Linked DNA regions of Cricetulus griseus. The protein of the gene in region 2 purifies or fractionates together with the protein of the main gene of each other region. This does not show direct contact. Links are inferred from orthologs where the notes say so. Each region holds a gene or a part of one and is shown on either strand. Other genes may lie near its edges. The genes, in order: Actl6a, Smarcc1, Dpf2 and Sin3a.

Region 1 (4,125 bases), on a different chromosome or scaffold from region 2:
GAAAAAAACTTAAAAATACTCAAAGATAGGTAAAAAGCTAGAAAAAAAGGAAAACACATCCTCACTAATATCTTACAATCACAGAGAAAAGCGGTCACATTGTTTAAGGATACGCCGTCAAAACTGCAGTTTTGCAAAGGAAGAATGCAGGGATGCTGTAGTGTTCGAACATCAACTCTGTCAGTTTCTCTCTCTTTGCCCTGGTGTTCCACTGCAGAAGGGAGGAAGGACCCCAGTTATTCAATGTGTAGTAATTAAAGCACTGGCTAGTTCATGCTATATTACAGAGCCATATTGGCAAAAAAACAATGTTAAGAATGCCCTTTTTTAAAATAAATCATAAATTAAGCTATTATTAATCAGGTATAACTGTCAGCTGCTTTGAGTTCTCCAAATACTTTTCAAATCACAGGAAAATCAAGATTCTAAAAACCAAAGTATTATTACACATTACATCTGGTAACTGAATTCTAAATATGAATTTAAAACACCCAATTACCCTCTTGTAACTGGTACTCACAAAGCCAATTATTTCATTTGCTGAAATGTTTTAACCATAATAAAAATTAAGCTTTCCACAAATTTCTAAACTCAAAATGTGAATTTCGATGACTTTTAAGAGGGCCAGCAAGAAGGTTCAGCAGGCTTTCACCACCAAGCCTGATAACTCTAGTGAGATCTCTGGGATCCACATGGTAGAAAGAACTATGCCTTCAAGTTGTTGTCTGACTTCTACATGTGTGCCTGGCACATAAGCATCTATGTATATCTAAATACACACATGAAAAATTAATAAATGAATCAGTTTTTAAAAGAAAGTCTTCAGGTGACTGGGAAGTAAAAGAAGAAGAAAGACAGCGGGTCTCACCGGTGCTTCTGACATGAGAACAGGATGCAGGCTGGCTTCAGATTTGACATGCATCTTATAGGTATGATCCAAAATGGCCTGGAAACTATCCCAGTCTTCAACTACAAGAACATAAGAGTCATAGCCTGAAACAAAGCTTAGCCAACGATAAATGAATGAGCATCTTCTAAGGTGGAGACTGTGTCTGTGACTTTCAAGTTAATGTCTGAATATACAGAATCTACTTTGTAACACAGCACTTTACAAAAGAGGCCATCATCATTTTCTACTTATAAAATCTCTTCTTGGTTCTTCCAGGTGGGCCTCAGATCTGCCCTAAATATAAGCAGAGTGCTTAAGAGACACAACAATTCTAGCTAGAGGCCAGGTGAGTGATCAGAAGAGAAAGAGGACAAAGGAAAGGAGCTCACGGGCTAGACACAGCTACACTTGGAGCTAGGAAAACAAATAAACAACAACAAAACTTGCTATCAGAAAAATAAGATTTAAAGACATTTTAAGAATTCAGAGAGTACCAGACATGACAGTGCACACCTTTAATCCCTGTACATAGTACTGGGGAGGCAGAGGCAGGCAGGTCTCTGAGTTCATGGTCAGCCAGGACTACAGAGATAAGCTTTGTCTCAAGAAACAAAAGAAACAAAAACACAGATGTCTTCTGGCAACCCCTTCTTCTGTTCATGAGGTACTAGTTAACTGGTGACAGTTCCATTGGACAAATAGTAATTTCAACTGCATGTGACTGTTTGACATTACTTGGCACTGTTTACAATGGTTTACAAATGTTTTCTCCCACAAACCCATTTGATCTTTTTTTTTTTTAAATCTGTGGACTTCACCAGTAGCTGGGACCTATGTTGCCCTTAGTGTAATCTCAACCCACCTCTGAGAAAACTGACCACCACTTGACTCTCCCCCTACCCCTAACACAAGACTGTTCATTCTCCTTCCAGAGCACTCCTCTCTACTAGCTAAATACTGAACATGTTTTTAACAGAAAGCCCATTCTTAACCTCTTACAAGTTCCAGTCCTTTTTGGGTCATATAGTGCAATTCCACATCTTCAATGTTTCCCCATGACTTCATTACCAATGTCTCATACACCCTGAAGTCAGGCCATTTACTTGCTGTGTGGGAACACACAAACCTGACCCTCTACTGCTGTCTGGCACTCAAATACTCAACAGTTTCTGGCACTGACATCAAACTTTCCTTGCATGGTAAGAGCACCTGTTTGCACAAAGTGGCTTAGGTTGACTACCACTTCCCTCCTGGGTTCTAGAGCTATGGCACATGACAGGAGGAGGTGGTCCTATGTGACCAGCCTCAATTAAAGCCTTACACACAGAGTCTCTGCTAATCCCTTGGTGGACAATACACTGTGCAGTTGAGTTAGGAAACACATCCCACATATCTACAGTGAGAAGGCTTGGTCTCCTCTGGATTTCATCCCCTTTCCCTTTTTCCTAGATGACTTCCTCATGTGTCTTTTCAGTATGGCCCCATGAGTCAGTCCTAAGAGTATCTTACCTCCAAGTTTTATCCCAAGACTATAACCCATCTTCCTCCCCCTTTAATTCTTACCTCAGTGAATTTATTTATTTGTCCCCTCAACTGAAGTTCTAAGAAACCTTCTCATTCTCTACTTTCTGCCTCTTCAAGCTCTTAGTGCCACCTGTCACCTGGATCCCTAAAAGCCACTTCAGGATCTCTGCCATCAGTGGTTTAAACCCTCATTTCCACTGGAAACTTCCTCCTGTCCTATCACTGTGGTGATATTTTGTTTGTGCTTTAACAAATAAAGCTTGCCTGAAGATCAGAGTGCGGAGCTAGACAGTAGGTGGCCATAGAGGTCAGGCAGTGGTGTCACAAGCAGAGGCAGATGGATATTAGTGAGTTTCGGGCCACCTTGGGCTATACAAGATTGATCCAGTCTAAAAGAGAAACAAAGCCAGGCAGTGATGGCTCACACATTCAATCCCAGTACCTGGGAGTCACATGCCTTTAATCCCAGCACTAGGGAGGTGGAGACAGGAAGGGAGATGGCTGGGAGGAGAGAGGAATATAAAGCAGGAGGAGACAGGAGCTCATTGCATTCAGTTTGAGGATTCCTAGAGACAGGATCACTTTCAGTCCAAGAATTTGTAGACAGGATCCTGCCCTTTCAGGCTGAGCAGTTGGTGAAGTAAGAGGTGCCTTGCTCCTTTTTTCTCAGATCTTTCAGCATTTACTGTGATAGCTAGCTCTGGGTTTTTATTATTAAGATCAATTAGAATTCAAGCTACATCTCTCTAATACCATTGTTTCCTTACCACACCTACATAGTTCTTACCCAGTATACAATAAACAGTTTTCTGTGCATATATCAAACTCTCCAGACCAAGTTTAAGGAAAAGAATACTTCCTACTAATCTTTGTGTTCTCAGTACCCAAAATATTACTTTGTGGAATTAAAACAAACACACACCTGACATCCATCAGTTACCATTTTATATCTAAAAGTACTGTGAGCACTATTTATAATCAAATCCATACCCATTCCATTCTTGAGTGGTGAGATGGCTTCCATGTTCTCCCTGGGTACTCGGAGGGCATTGGTATCTATGTAATAAGTGGGACCACCCTGTTTGCCTTTGTCACCATCTATTTCCATCATGGTGCTTCCATCATCTCTCTCCAACACCATACCAATAGCCGTGGGGAAATCAACCTGGGAGAGTTAAACATGGTATGAAGTAACATCCACTTTCACTGGGCAGTGTTTCTAGTATCTACTGCCATTTTTGTTTTGAGTTTCTGTTTGAATTTAATTTTGTACAAATGACTCTTGTCTATCTAAAATAATTGTCATCACTGTTCTTACCTTGGGGCAGTCCTCACCAGCATAACCAGCCCTCACTGTATATGATCCAATGTCAAAAACAAGGGCGCCAACTTCATCTGAAAAGATTAAAAAACAATTACACATCCCATTGAGGGAGGCAGGGTAGAGGCAGACAAATCTCTGAGTTCCAGGCCAGACTGATACACAGAACTAGTTCCAGGCAGTTGGGGCTACACAGAGAAACTCTGTCTCAACAAAGCAAACAAACAAACCAAAAGAGAGAGAGAGAGAATTACGACTAGCAACTAACATATTTTATGTGTATAAAATGAGAATATTTAAAACTTTGCAAAAATTCATTATGTTCATATATCATTAAGCTAGTTTTTGTTATTGTTGTTTTGAAACAGGGTCTCTATGTGATGCTAATTGT
Region 2 (4,125 bases):
ACTTTGAAGTAGGTTCTCTCCTGGCATGCTGTGGGCTGCTAAACAAATGACTTTTTATCTGCTAGCCGTGTTGCTTACCCCTTGCCTGTAGTTGATGATATTTTATGCTTTAGTGTGGGAAGAGTTTGTCATAGAGTGGCATCTAATGAGGTAACTGGATTTAGGTTGTTGATTTCTCTGTCTTCGATTGTCTTTTTATTATGCTGCTCTTACACATAATGGAATGCATTTTTTTTATTTTAATGCTGTTCCAAATATTTTTCTAATTTAAATTGTTCGTTGTTATTAGAGAAATACAAGTATTGTTTTTGTCTTCTGTTGCACTTTTCACTGGTCATTTGATATTTAGTGGGGTTTGTTTTGTTTTGTTTTTTGGGGATGTTTTGTTGTTGTTTTTTTGTTTTGTTTTGTTTTTTTGTTTTTTGAGACATGTGGCTTTGGAGGCTCCTGGAACTAGCTCTTGTAGACCAGGCTGGTCTGGAACTCACAGAGATCCGCTTGCCTCTGCCTCCCCAGTGCTGAGATTAAAGGCCTGCGCCACCACTGCTCGGCTGATACTTAGTGTTAATCTTCAACCACTACCCCATTTATTCTTTAGAAGGTTTTGTGTAAACAATACTGATCCTGTTAAAGGACAGGTTTCTAAATGCGCATGTATTTTATTTATTTTTGTTGCCTGTTACACAGCTTACTACAAAGAAAACTGTCAAACTGCCATTTTATTTTAATGTACTAGTAATCATTTATGTTATTATTTTGAGTTAGCCTCTTTCTCAGTCTAGTAATCTTCTGCCTCAATTTATTGATTACTGAGGTTTAATGGCATGTGCCATCACAACTAAATCTTTACCCAGAATTTTTAGAAATATTGTTTAAAGAATCATAGCGAGGCAGGTGATTTGGCTCTTATAGCACTCTGGAGCTCCAGCAAGGAGATTGGAAGTTTGAGAGCAGTCTGTACTGCACATTGAGACATGCTTCATTTTTTGTTCCATATTACCTCCTTTTTACTTGACATTAACGCTCATCATTTATGTGTTCACGTAGGCTCTGGAGATGTACAAGGATGATTGGAATAAAGTCTCAGAACATGTTGGAAGTCGTACACAGGATGAATGCATCCTCCACTTTTTGAGGCTTCCCATTGAGGACCCATACCTTGAAAATTCGGATGCTTCCCTTGGGCCTCTAGCTTACCAGCCTGTCCCTTTCAGCCAGTCTGGAAACCCAGTGATGAGTACCGTTGCGTTTTTAGCGTCTGTGGTTGATCCTCGTGTGGCATCTGCTGCAGCAAAAGCGGCATTGGGTATGTACTCTGTTTGAGCCGCCTCTCCAGCACTGAGATCTGACCTCAGAGTTGAATATTATTAGCCGTGAGCACAAGGCTTGTGTAAATTGCCTGTTTTGTAGGCATAATGACCTGAGATCGCATCTCCAAAGACTGTGTAAGACTTCGAGGTTCCAGATGGTGCTTGTAGCACCTTCCCTGGGGACAGAGTTATATGACCATAGAGAGCATCTTAGAGAACATGATAGCGTGAGACGTGAAAGAGAAATCTGTCCTGATGTAAACCTCTGGTCTGCACACATGCCCATTGGTGTGAGCTTACACTCAAACACAAACCTACACACTCACACTCTCAAACGTTTTAAAAAATATATGTCAGCTGTTATTTATGCAAATCCAAGAAAACCCCAAAGATAATGGTTTTCATAAAGGTTATAAATAATCTTTTAATGTACAAAATTTTTTGTAAGTTAAGAGCATTTATTTACATTTTCTTTCATTTTTTTAAGATCTATTTTGTGTGTGTGTGTGTGTGTGTGTGTGTGTGTGTGTGTGTGTGTGTGTGTGTTTATGTAATCAACTATCATGATGTTTTTCAGAAGGTTAGAGGCCTAGCATTGGGAGGGTTCTCTCCTACAATGTGTGCCTTGTGAATTAAACTTAAAACTATCAGCTTAGCCCCAAGTGCCTTTCCCTGCTGAGCCATCTTGCTGGTGATAGCGTATTTGTTTAGAATTAGGTAAGCAGCCAGATATGATTGTAGACACCTATGAAATACCAGCTTTTGGGAGGCAGAAGCAAAAGAAACATGACTTTGAGGTTCAGCTTGGACTACAGTAGATCTTATCTCTTACATACATGTACACACACAGGTTTTTTTTTCTGGTGTGTGTGTGTGTAAAGAAGTGTTTTGTGATATTAGGAAATTGATAGAGCCAAGGAATGGAAGTTCAATTAATTTACTACAATTATCATTTTTTAAAATTACTTTTTGTTTTTGTTTTGTTTTTTAATTTTATTAGTTGAAATTAGGAATGAGCTTGCTTCACATGTCAATTCTTTCTCCCTCCCCTCCCCCTAACATCTCACCTGTCCCTAGCCATCCCCCCTCCACTCCCCAGGCAGGGTAAGGCCCTCAAAAGGGGCTCCCCAAAGTCAACCACATCATCCTGGGCTAGGCCTAGGCCCTTCCCCATATGTCCAGGCCAAGAGAGCATCCCTTCACATCAAAATCCCTTCTCTTTTCTTTTTTTTAAGACCTTTCATATTTAATATGGTGCGTTACCCCTGCAATTATAATTGTTTGATCCTTGGTGTTTTTACAACTACCAGTCTAGCCAACAGAGAGAGAAAAATAGGACTGCAATTTTAATTGTTACTAGTAGATCCTTAAAAATCTTTTAAAAGTATATTTAAGACGTCACAATGATGTTTAGGATAAAAACCTGGAATGTAGACAGGCATTGTTAGAACACACATTTTATTTATTTATTTATTTATTTATTTGTTTATTTATTCATTCATTCATTCATTCATTCATTTGTTTATTTGAGTATTCTGTCTTCCTGTACCTCTGCATGATAGAGGAGGGGATCAGATCCCATTATAGATGGTTGTGAGCCACCATGTGGGTGCTGGGGAATTTTACTCAGCACCTCTAGACGAACAGCCAATGCTCTTAACAGCCACTGAGGCACCTCTCCATCCCGGCACACGCCTTCTTAATCCCAACACTTGGGAGGCAGAGGTAGGAGGGTCTCTGTGAGTTGAGATCAGCCTGGTCTACAGAGCGAGTTCCACGACAGCCTACAAAGCCAGAGAAAACCTGTCTTGAAAAAACTAAAAAATCGTAGATTGATTCATTTTACCCTCTGCCCCAAAGAGCTCATTACAACGAAACCAATGCTATTATGTCAGATACTCTAAGTCATATATGAGAAGCACATGTCTATGCAAAATGCAAATGGTGTGTCTTTTCATTTTGAATCAGAGGAGTTTTCTCGGGTCCGAGAAGAAGTACCACTGGAATTAGTTGAAGCGCACGTCAAAAAAGTACAGGAAGCTGCGAGAGCCTCTGGAAAGGTGGATCCGACCTATGGCTTGGAGAGCAGCTGTATTGCAGGCACAGGTCCTGACGAGCCAGAGAAGCTTGGTGAGTCGTTGCTGTACCCAGGACTTGGTATCAGATGTTTATATTCCCTGTCATTGTGCAAAATAGTAGTGTTTGTTTACACGAAAGCCCACAAAATGATGAGGGTAAACTTCCTCTTAAGCTGGGTGTATGAATCTTTGCTTTGCTCTCACATGCTCATGGCACGGAGGAGGAAAACTAAAACAGGGCCCAGGAGCTGAACAGTAGTGTGAGAGTTAGCACAGTTTTGGGATTTTTGTTTTGTTTTTCGTGGCAATGTTTTCTGTGTATCAGTTCTGGGTGTTCTGGAACTCCCTTGAATTCAGGCTGCTTTCGAATTCATAGAGATCCACCTACCCTATCCCTTCTGAGTCCGAGGTTAAAGGCTACCATGCCTGGCTATTTTGAGATATTTATGGTTGATGATAGATCTTTTTTATTATATGTACTGAAGTTGCTTTAGCCTTGTCTATTTTAAAACTTATGTAGGATAGCTATGATATAAGACGCCCCATTTTATTCACTCAGTTTGTAATTCAATAATTTGTACTATATTCACATTTGTCTTCCTTACTTAATTCTGTAACTTTTTTTTTTTTTCAAAAAAGGATTTCTCCTACTTCTGTGGGATTTGTTTGTTCTGTTTCTTTGAGACAGGTTCTCATTATGTATCCTACACTGACCTGGTTGTCTTTCCTCGGCCTCC
Region 3 (3,645 bases), on a different chromosome or scaffold from region 2:
CCTGGCTGAGGAGGAGGGAGAGGACAAAGAAGACTCTCAACCACCTACTCCTGTTTCCCAGAGGTCTGAGGAGCAGAAATGTAAGCTGAGGTGTCAGGATGAGCAAACAGGAGAGGAGCCAGCCTGGTTATAAAAACCCTCTTTGGGGAGGAGCTTGATTCTGCCCCAACTTAATGTACCAAACTATGTTGAGTCCAAATGAGAGCCCTTACCTGTTGGGGGTGGGGAGTGGGCTGGGAGGGGAGGCGAGGGGAGCAGGAGGAGGGAGGGGAGGAAGAACTTTGGTTGGAATGTAAAATGAAATTTAAAAAAATACTTAAAATAAAAGTCCTCCTTGTAGGGAATGTGGGGCATCATCAAAATTCCTTTCTTTTTTTCCTGTAGCCAAGAAAGGACCTGATGGATTAGCCCTGCCCAACAACTACTGTGACTTCTGCCTGGGAGACTCAAAAATCAACAAGAAGACAGGGCAGCCTGAGGAGCTAGTGTCCTGTTCTGACTGTGGCCGCTCAGGTACTTCCATTCTCAAAGAGCAGGCTGCACTCAGTGCCCAGGACACTCTTGGCCTGGTTACTTCAGTGCTGTCAGGCAGCCTCCCATCCCCATTCCCCACGGGTTTCCAGCCCCCGTTTGACTCGCCTCCCCCACAGGGCACCCGTCCTGCCTGCAGTTCACCCCCGTGATGATGGCGGCTGTGAAGACCTACCGCTGGCAGTGCATCGAGTGCAAGTGCTGCAACCTCTGCGGCACTTCGGAGAATGACGTGCGTGCGCCCTCTCAGCCTGCCTGGCTCTCCCCTCAGCTCCCCCAAAGCAAGCTTTCTGTCAGCACAAGCAAGGGCCTCCCTCCTTCCACGCCCCTCCTTAGCCTCCCCTGGGGAACTTTACACTTGTTTAAAAAAATCTGTTTCTTGAGCACCAGCAGTCGGTGTTTTTGGCTCTCAGGTCACTAAGTAAGACAGAGAAGACCATGCTTTCATCAAATTTGTGTACTTGGGTAACAGAGTTTTGTATGATATACCTTGATGAGCCAAAGAGTTAACTGGTCTACAAAGCAAGTTCCAAGACAGGCTCCAAAGCTACACAGTGAGACCCTGTCTCAAAAAACAAACAAAAAAAAAGAGTTAACTTGATACTGATAGAGGTTTCTAGTTAGATTTGCTTTTGGAGGAAATGAAGTTGGTGTTGGAGTTTTGATAACACAAAGAGCCAGTCCAAAAAGGTACAAAATGAGTGTATTTCCAAAGAGGTATAGCCAGTGCAGAGACCTTGAGATTGGCAAGCCCGCTGTAACAAGGCCATTGCTACCCACTAGATCTTTCATGTGGGGGAAGGTGAATCGGAGAGGTGGATGTTGTTTGATCTATGGGTCTTGAGTCCTTTTGTGAGCAGTGAGGAATCCTGGAGATTGACCCCAGGACCTGGTGAACACTAGGCATGAGCTTTGCTGCTAAGCTCCACCCCTGTGCTTGGACCTTGGGGATGTTGACAGAGGCCATTTATTTGGGGGTGGTTGTTGTGTGATATGTTCTGTCTCATATTTTCAGAAGGTAACTGGCAGCTTTGTAGAGAAGAGATTGTAGGGAAATAGTAGGCTTTGTGATCAGTTAGAATCTGGATAGGTTGAGATGGGCAGGTCTTACTTCTTTATTTTAATTACTTAACTTCATGTGCATTGTTGTTTTGCCTGCATGTATGTCTGTGTAAGGGTATCAGGTCTCATGGAACTGGAGTTACAGACAGTTGTGAGCTGCCATGTGGGTGCTGGGAATTAAACCCAGGGCCTCTGGAAGAACAGTCAGTGTTCTTCACTGCTGTGCCATCTTTCCAGCCCCTCTACATCTCTTCTTAGCAGCTACTAGTCCCTCATAAAAGTAGCAGCAGTGTCACAACTTGGGTACATAAGCCTTTGGATCCTTGTTCTTTCTTTCTCCTTACCTTCTGCAGGACCAGCTGCTCTTCTGTGATGACTGTGACCGTGGCTACCACATGTACTGTCTCACCCCATCCATGTCGGAGCCTCCTGAAGGTAAGTGGCCCACCCAAAATACTTTATCCCAGAAGGATCCATAACACCCAAGTAAAACATGACTTGTTATAGGTCTTAATTGTGTGGTTTCAGCATTTTTTGATTTCTTAAGACAGGGTTTCTCTGTATAACAGCCCTGACTGCCCTGAAACTCACTTTGTAGACCAGGTTGACCTTGAACTCACAGAGATCCGCCTGTATCTGCCTCCCAAGTGCTGGGATCAAAGGCATGCATCACCACTGCCTGGCCCAGAATTTTTTTTTCTTTAAAGACTTTATTATGTATACAACATTCTGCTTCCATGTACATCTGCACACCAGAAGAAGGCACCAGATCTTATAATGGATGGTTGTGAGCCACCATGTGGTTGCTGGGAATTGAACTCAGGACCTCTGGAAGAGCAGTCAGTGCTCTTAACCGCTGAGCCATCTCTCCAGCCCCCAGAATTTTAATTTAAAGAACTTAATGTTTGCAAGCTGTCTTCCTTTGTATAGTCCAGAAATTCAGTTGGAGCTTATCTAACATGATATTTCTTTTGTCGCTCTCCTACTCTGATGGATTGTTTCTTTCCTCTCTTCCCCATTCGGGAGGGAGTTGACCCTGGAGCTTGGGGTATTTTTTTGCATCTCTTGTGGTTCACTTAGTAATGCTCCAAGTTCATGGAAGTGCTACACCAACACCAATGGTGACATCAAGGAGTGGTTCTTTTCCACAAGTCCCTTCCAACTGTGTTTCTGTGCCTAGCTCCTTCCTCTAAGGTAGTAGTTCTCAGCCTGTGGGTCTCAATCCCCATAGGGATCACATATTGGATATCCTGCATATCGGATATTTATGTTACAGTTCGCCAAGCGATGATGGCACACGCCTTTAATTCCAGTACTCGGGAGGCAGAGGCAGGTGGATCTCTGTGAGTTTGAGACCAGCCTGGTCTACAAGAGCTAGTTCCAGGACAGCCTCCAAATCACAGAGAAACCTGTCTCGGAAAAAAAGAAAAGACAACAGATATTTATGTTACAATTCATAATAGTAGCAAAATTAACAGTTATGAAGTAGCAATGGAATTTTATGTTTGGGGGATCACTACAACATGAGGAGCTGTATTAAAGGGTCTCAGCATTAGGAAGGTTGTGAACCACTGCAAGAGACTCAAAGCTTGTCCAGGAGGGCCTAAGTACCTAGTAGCTCTGCTGTGCACAGACAGGAGCCAGCCTTCAAGTGGGAGTAGTTTACTGTTTCCAGAAGCTGACTGGTAATGTAGGTCAGACTGCAGAAAATGAGGCCACTAGCAAAACTGGTGAGTACTTTAACAATTGCAGGACCACACAGTGCTACTGAATGCCACATCCATCTCCAAATCAGCTTGAAGAAAGTAGTCCTTGTGTTTTGTTTAATGACCAAATAGCACCTTATAGACAGAACTTGCATTGATGGCCCAAGGGCTTTCCCATTGATATTTTGTGAGACACTGGGTAGTGGAGAGTTGCAGGCCAAGTATTTCCTCACTGGAACATCAGGAGGTCGTCTTCTTTAGGTCATGGTTGGCATGGCATGCCTTATGGGCCATATCTAGCTGTGTCAGTTTACATAGCTTGCAAATCAACAGTGACTTTTACATT
Region 4 (4,125 bases), about 49 Mb from region 2:
ATAACCACACCTATATACTCATGGCATATGGGTGTTCATAAAGGCACACATATACACATCTAATAATTAAATCTTAAAAATGACAACAAAAACAGCCTGAGGATATGGCTCAAATGGCAAAGGGATTCTTTCTCAAGCAGAGGACCAGAGTTTGGACTCCCAGCACCGACATAAAATACTAGGCACAGGAATATAAAACTGTAATCCCAGCTCTCGAGAAGCAGAGACAGGAAGACCCCTGAAGCTTACAGACAAGTCAGTGTACCAATTTGTGAGCTCTAGGTTCAATGAGTCCTTCTCTCAAAAAAACAAGGCAGAGAAGCAACTGAAGATAATACCCAACACTAACCTCTGACCTCCACACATATATATGCTCAAGTGTTCTCTCTCTCTCTCTCTCTCTCTCTCTCTCTCTCTCTCTCTTCTCTCTCTCTCTCTCTCTCTCGTGCTCGCACACACACACACACAAACACACACGGGGGGGGGGGGGTTTGACAACACGGGACATTGAGAGATAGCTCAATGAATAAAACACTTGTCATGCAAGTCTAAGGAAAACGTTGGGACAAGTCAGACGTAGTGTAACATTTGTAATTCCAGCACACCTACTGGGATTGAGTTGGGAGGCAGAGATAGCAAATTCCCTCTACAAGCTCCAGGGCCAGATACCTTAAACTGTCAGTGGTGCTCAACAAAAGACCCTGCCTCAGGTAAGGTAAAATATTAGGACAGATATCTGTTTTGATGTGCACGTTCTAACATTCTCTCTCACACAACCTCCCACACACACACTTACAGCACTGAAAACTAATTTTTTGGGTTTTTTTGTTTTTTTTTCCAAATAGGATTTCACTATGTAGCTTCGGAGTCTGTCCTGGAACTCGCTTTGTAGACCAGGCTGGCCTCGAACTCACAGAGATCCACCTCCAAATGATGAGGAACTGAAAGCCAGCCTGGAATACAAGGTGAGTTCAAGGCTAACCTAAGTTACACATAGAAAGATTCTGTCTTCAAACAAAACAAACCCGAAGATTAAATAAAAACAATGCTAAAAACTCCTAATCAGTTGCCACTTCCTAAACAAAACCTTGGGGATTAGATGACTTTTATTGGTTTTTCGAGACAGGGTTTCTCTGTGTAGCTTTGGAGCCTATCCTGGCACTCGCTCTGGCCTCAAACTCACAGAGATCCGCCTGCCTCTGCCTCCCAAGTGCTGGGATTAAAGGCATGTGCCACCAACGCCCCGGGCTAGATAACTACTCTTAACAACTAATATCAAATGTTACTCATTGCTTACCTTATCAAAAAATAATGACTCAGTTCCAACACCATGCTTGCTGGCATCTGCCATTGAAGATTCCTTTAGACTAAGCAGTTTGGGTTTTTTCTGGAAATAAAAATAAGAAATAAAACAAAAACATACAATGCTGAGTGAATTTTCTTTAATTTTGCTAAAATGGTTCTACTACTACTAACTAATCAGAACAAATGAGATTGCAGTCACAAATTTCTATCATAACCTTTAACTCTGGGGTTTAAAAAATAAATCTTTAACCTATACTATTTCAACTTAAAAATCCATAGGGAAAAAAATTAGTTCATTGTCTAGTAGACAGCATAACCATCTTATCAGCATATCCACTCAAACTAATACTGCTAATGTTTTTTTTTTTTTTTTTTTTTTGAGAGTGTCACTGTGTAGCCCTAGATGTCCTCAAACTCAAAGATCTGCTTTGCTGCCCTGCCCATCACATCACAGTGTTGCTAGGACAGGTGTCACTGTAACCCCTAGCCATATTAATAATTTAACTTGAAAGCCACATGGCAGTGGCACATGCCTTTAAATCCCAATACTTGGAGGCAGAGGCAGGTAAATCTCTGTGAGTTCAAAGCCAGCCTGGTCTACAAAGTGAGTTTCAGGACAGCCAAGGCTACATAGAGAAACTATGTCTCAAAGAAAAAAAAAAAAAAAAAAAAAACAAAAAAAAAGTTTTAAAAGTGGGAGGGAGAGCCTGGCACAGTCTATATCCCTTCACTCATTAGTCTGAGGCAGGAGGGTTGCCATGAGCTGACAATTAGCCTGGACTACTTCTGAGTACCAGGTACAATGAAGGCCAAACAGAAATGAAAAGGCCATAATATAACCCCACTAGGAAAATTTTACTTTTAAAAACCCACCTCTTACTACCTGTGAAGAAATAACCAACTCTGCCAGCAGCTTCTGTCTCTATGGGACGTGGAAACTAAGCACTAGCATACTGTTTCTACCTGTGGATTATCAGGTGTAGAAGGAAACAGACCCAAGAGAGAGTTCTTAGCTATTGAGCTAATTCTTGCAATCCACAGAATACTTTTTGAAGTTAAAAAACCAAACAATAAAACCACTACTATATTCAACCCGATTCCAAAACTGAGAAAACACTGCAAGTACCAAAACAACCTTTCAGAGAGTGTCAGTCCTTGGAGCCACTTGACACCCACCACCTTCCACTGTCTTTTTTGCTTTAACCAAATTCTATAGACACCTCTACTCCATATTACATGGTTTAGAATTCCCAGAGAAATTCAACAATGAATACATTCTGCTTCCTTCTTATATCAGACACACTAAATCAAGGAGACAAACTGGGCTTTCTATTGACAGGTCACTAGTGTTCACTGTAGTAGTCACTAACAGGAGCAAAAGACTGCCCTCTAGTACAGCCCTTGAAGACTAAGAAAATACAAAGCATCTGCACTAGGCTCACAAGAGTCGAATTTCCTCAGAGATCATTCATTTATTATCATTTATCAGTTTAAGAATCATCCTGTAATACAAGGCAATTTTAACACATCAAATCATGATAGAAATTAGTAAGTCTTGACAACAAAGTAAAAGAGTGAGAAGCTCACAGCAAAGGAGAGAGAATATAGGAAAAAAATACAGAAGCTGGAAACACACACACACACACACACACACACACACACACACACACACACACACACACACACACTGACCCACATGGTGAGTGTGCTTCATACCTGCCATTTGCAAAGCTACTAAGAAGCTTTGGAGGGAATTTCTGTGGCCTATACTAACGTGCTCTGGAAATACAGGCTGTAACCATCTTATCACCTATCTGTCTACTCTCACCTTCACTGGAGGCGTGGTACCCGCTCCAGAGTGTCTGCGGATCTGGCAGCCATTCTGGCTGGGCCTTTGTGGCTTGTTGTTCAGTTGGGGCTTCTTCACAGTGCCCCCATGGTCATTTCTCACAGAATCAACCTTCTCAGCAGTTGTTTTGCTTAAAAGCTGATTAAGACACAAGAGAGATTAGTACTTGGATCAAAAGTGTTACCTAAAAAGTCCCCTGTGACTACAGCTTTCAAACTTATAGTGACAATCTTAAATAATGTAGTTTGTCTAAATGAGACTTACCACCGAGCTGTTGGCATCCGGCAAGAACTGTCCAAACTCAGATAACAGATCCTCCTGGTTTTTGAAGAGACGTGCCACCTGGGCATATACCTCTTGCTCAGTCAAGGCTGGAGTATAGTTTCCTCCAGCTTCCTTGGCATTCCTCTGTTCTTTCTGAAGAGCAACAGAAGGGGACAAACGATACACACTAAGGGAGCTACTAGTCTGAATCCTACACCACACACACAATATTTTCTGAAATGTTTGATAGAGCTAAAATACTTTAAAGTATTATATTAATTTAATTACTGTTTTAATTGTAGTCTTTTGAGAAAGAAGATGCTGAATGATAGATAGGTCTTTATAAAACTAAGAACAAGTGAATGCTCCATTAATTAAACTGATAAAACACAAGACATTAAAAAACATCATCCCCCGGGCATTGGTGGCGCATGCTTTTAATCCCAGCAGAGGCAGAGCAGGCGGATCTCTGTGAGTTCAAGACCAGCCTGGTCTATAAGAGCTAGTTCCAGGACAGCCTCCAAAGCCACAGAGAAACCCTGTGTCGAAAAACCAAAAAAAAAAAAAAAACATCCATGTTCTCTTGTAAATCAATCAAGATCCAAAAATTCCCCTCACAAACTTCCACTATGAAACAAACACCCTCTTAACAAGCTAGTGACCTTAAAAAATCCTGACAAGGCCGGGCGTTGGTGGTGCACACCTTT

What was found.
Region 1: the proteins of Smarcc1 (region 2) and Actl6a fractionate together in Homo sapiens (co-fractionation; 8 studies listed by BioGRID and IntAct, with this or other methods). This does not show direct contact. The link is inferred for Cricetulus griseus from reciprocal best matches to the Homo sapiens genes SMARCC1 and ACTL6A.
Region 3: the proteins of Smarcc1 (region 2) and Dpf2 purify together in Homo sapiens (affinity purification with mass spectrometry; 9 studies listed by BioGRID and IntAct, counting the BioPlex papers as one, with this or other methods). This does not show direct contact. The link is inferred for Cricetulus griseus from reciprocal best matches to the Homo sapiens genes SMARCC1 and DPF2.
Region 4: the proteins of Smarcc1 (region 2) and Sin3a purify together in Homo sapiens (affinity purification with western blotting; 3 studies listed by BioGRID, with this or other methods). This does not show direct contact. The link is inferred for Cricetulus griseus from reciprocal best matches to the Homo sapiens genes SMARCC1 and SIN3A.

Annotation. Positions count from the first base shown.
Region 1 is NW_023276806.1:116,642,182-116,646,306, forward strand, and holds part of Actl6a (actin-like protein 6A), read right to left. Parts: intron 3,809-4,125; coding exon 3,732-3,808; intron 3,579-3,731; coding exon 3,404-3,578; intron 970-3,403; coding exon 869-969; intron 212-868; coding exon 114-211; intron 1-113.
Region 2 is NC_048597.1:217,653,583-217,657,707, forward strand, and holds part of Smarcc1 (SWI/SNF complex subunit SMARCC1), read left to right. Parts: intron 1-1,047; coding exon 1,048-1,306; intron 1,307-3,278; coding exon 3,279-3,440; intron 3,441-4,125. UniProt on the Homo sapiens protein: Involved in transcriptional activation and repression of select genes by chromatin remodeling (alteration of DNA-nucleosome topology).
Region 3 is NC_048596.1:53,441,466-53,445,110, forward strand, and holds part of Dpf2 (zinc finger protein ubi-d4), read left to right. Parts: coding exon 1-80; intron 81-384; coding exon 385-513; intron 514-650; coding exon 651-763; intron 764-1,946; coding exon 1,947-2,028; intron 2,029-3,645. UniProt on the Homo sapiens protein: Plays an active role in transcriptional regulation by binding modified histones H3 and H4. Is a negative regulator of myeloid differentiation of hematopoietic progenitor cells. Might also have a role in the development and maturation of lymphoid cells.
Region 4 is NC_048597.1:168,623,908-168,628,032, reverse strand, and holds part of Sin3a (paired amphipathic helix protein Sin3a), read right to left. Parts: intron 3,572-4,125; coding exon 3,419-3,571; intron 3,293-3,418; coding exon 3,134-3,292; intron 1,388-3,133; coding exon 1,298-1,387; intron 1-1,297. UniProt on the Homo sapiens protein: Acts as a transcriptional repressor. Corepressor for REST. Interacts with MXI1 to repress MYC responsive genes and antagonize MYC oncogenic activities. Also interacts with MXD1-MAX heterodimers to repress transcription by tethering SIN3A to DNA.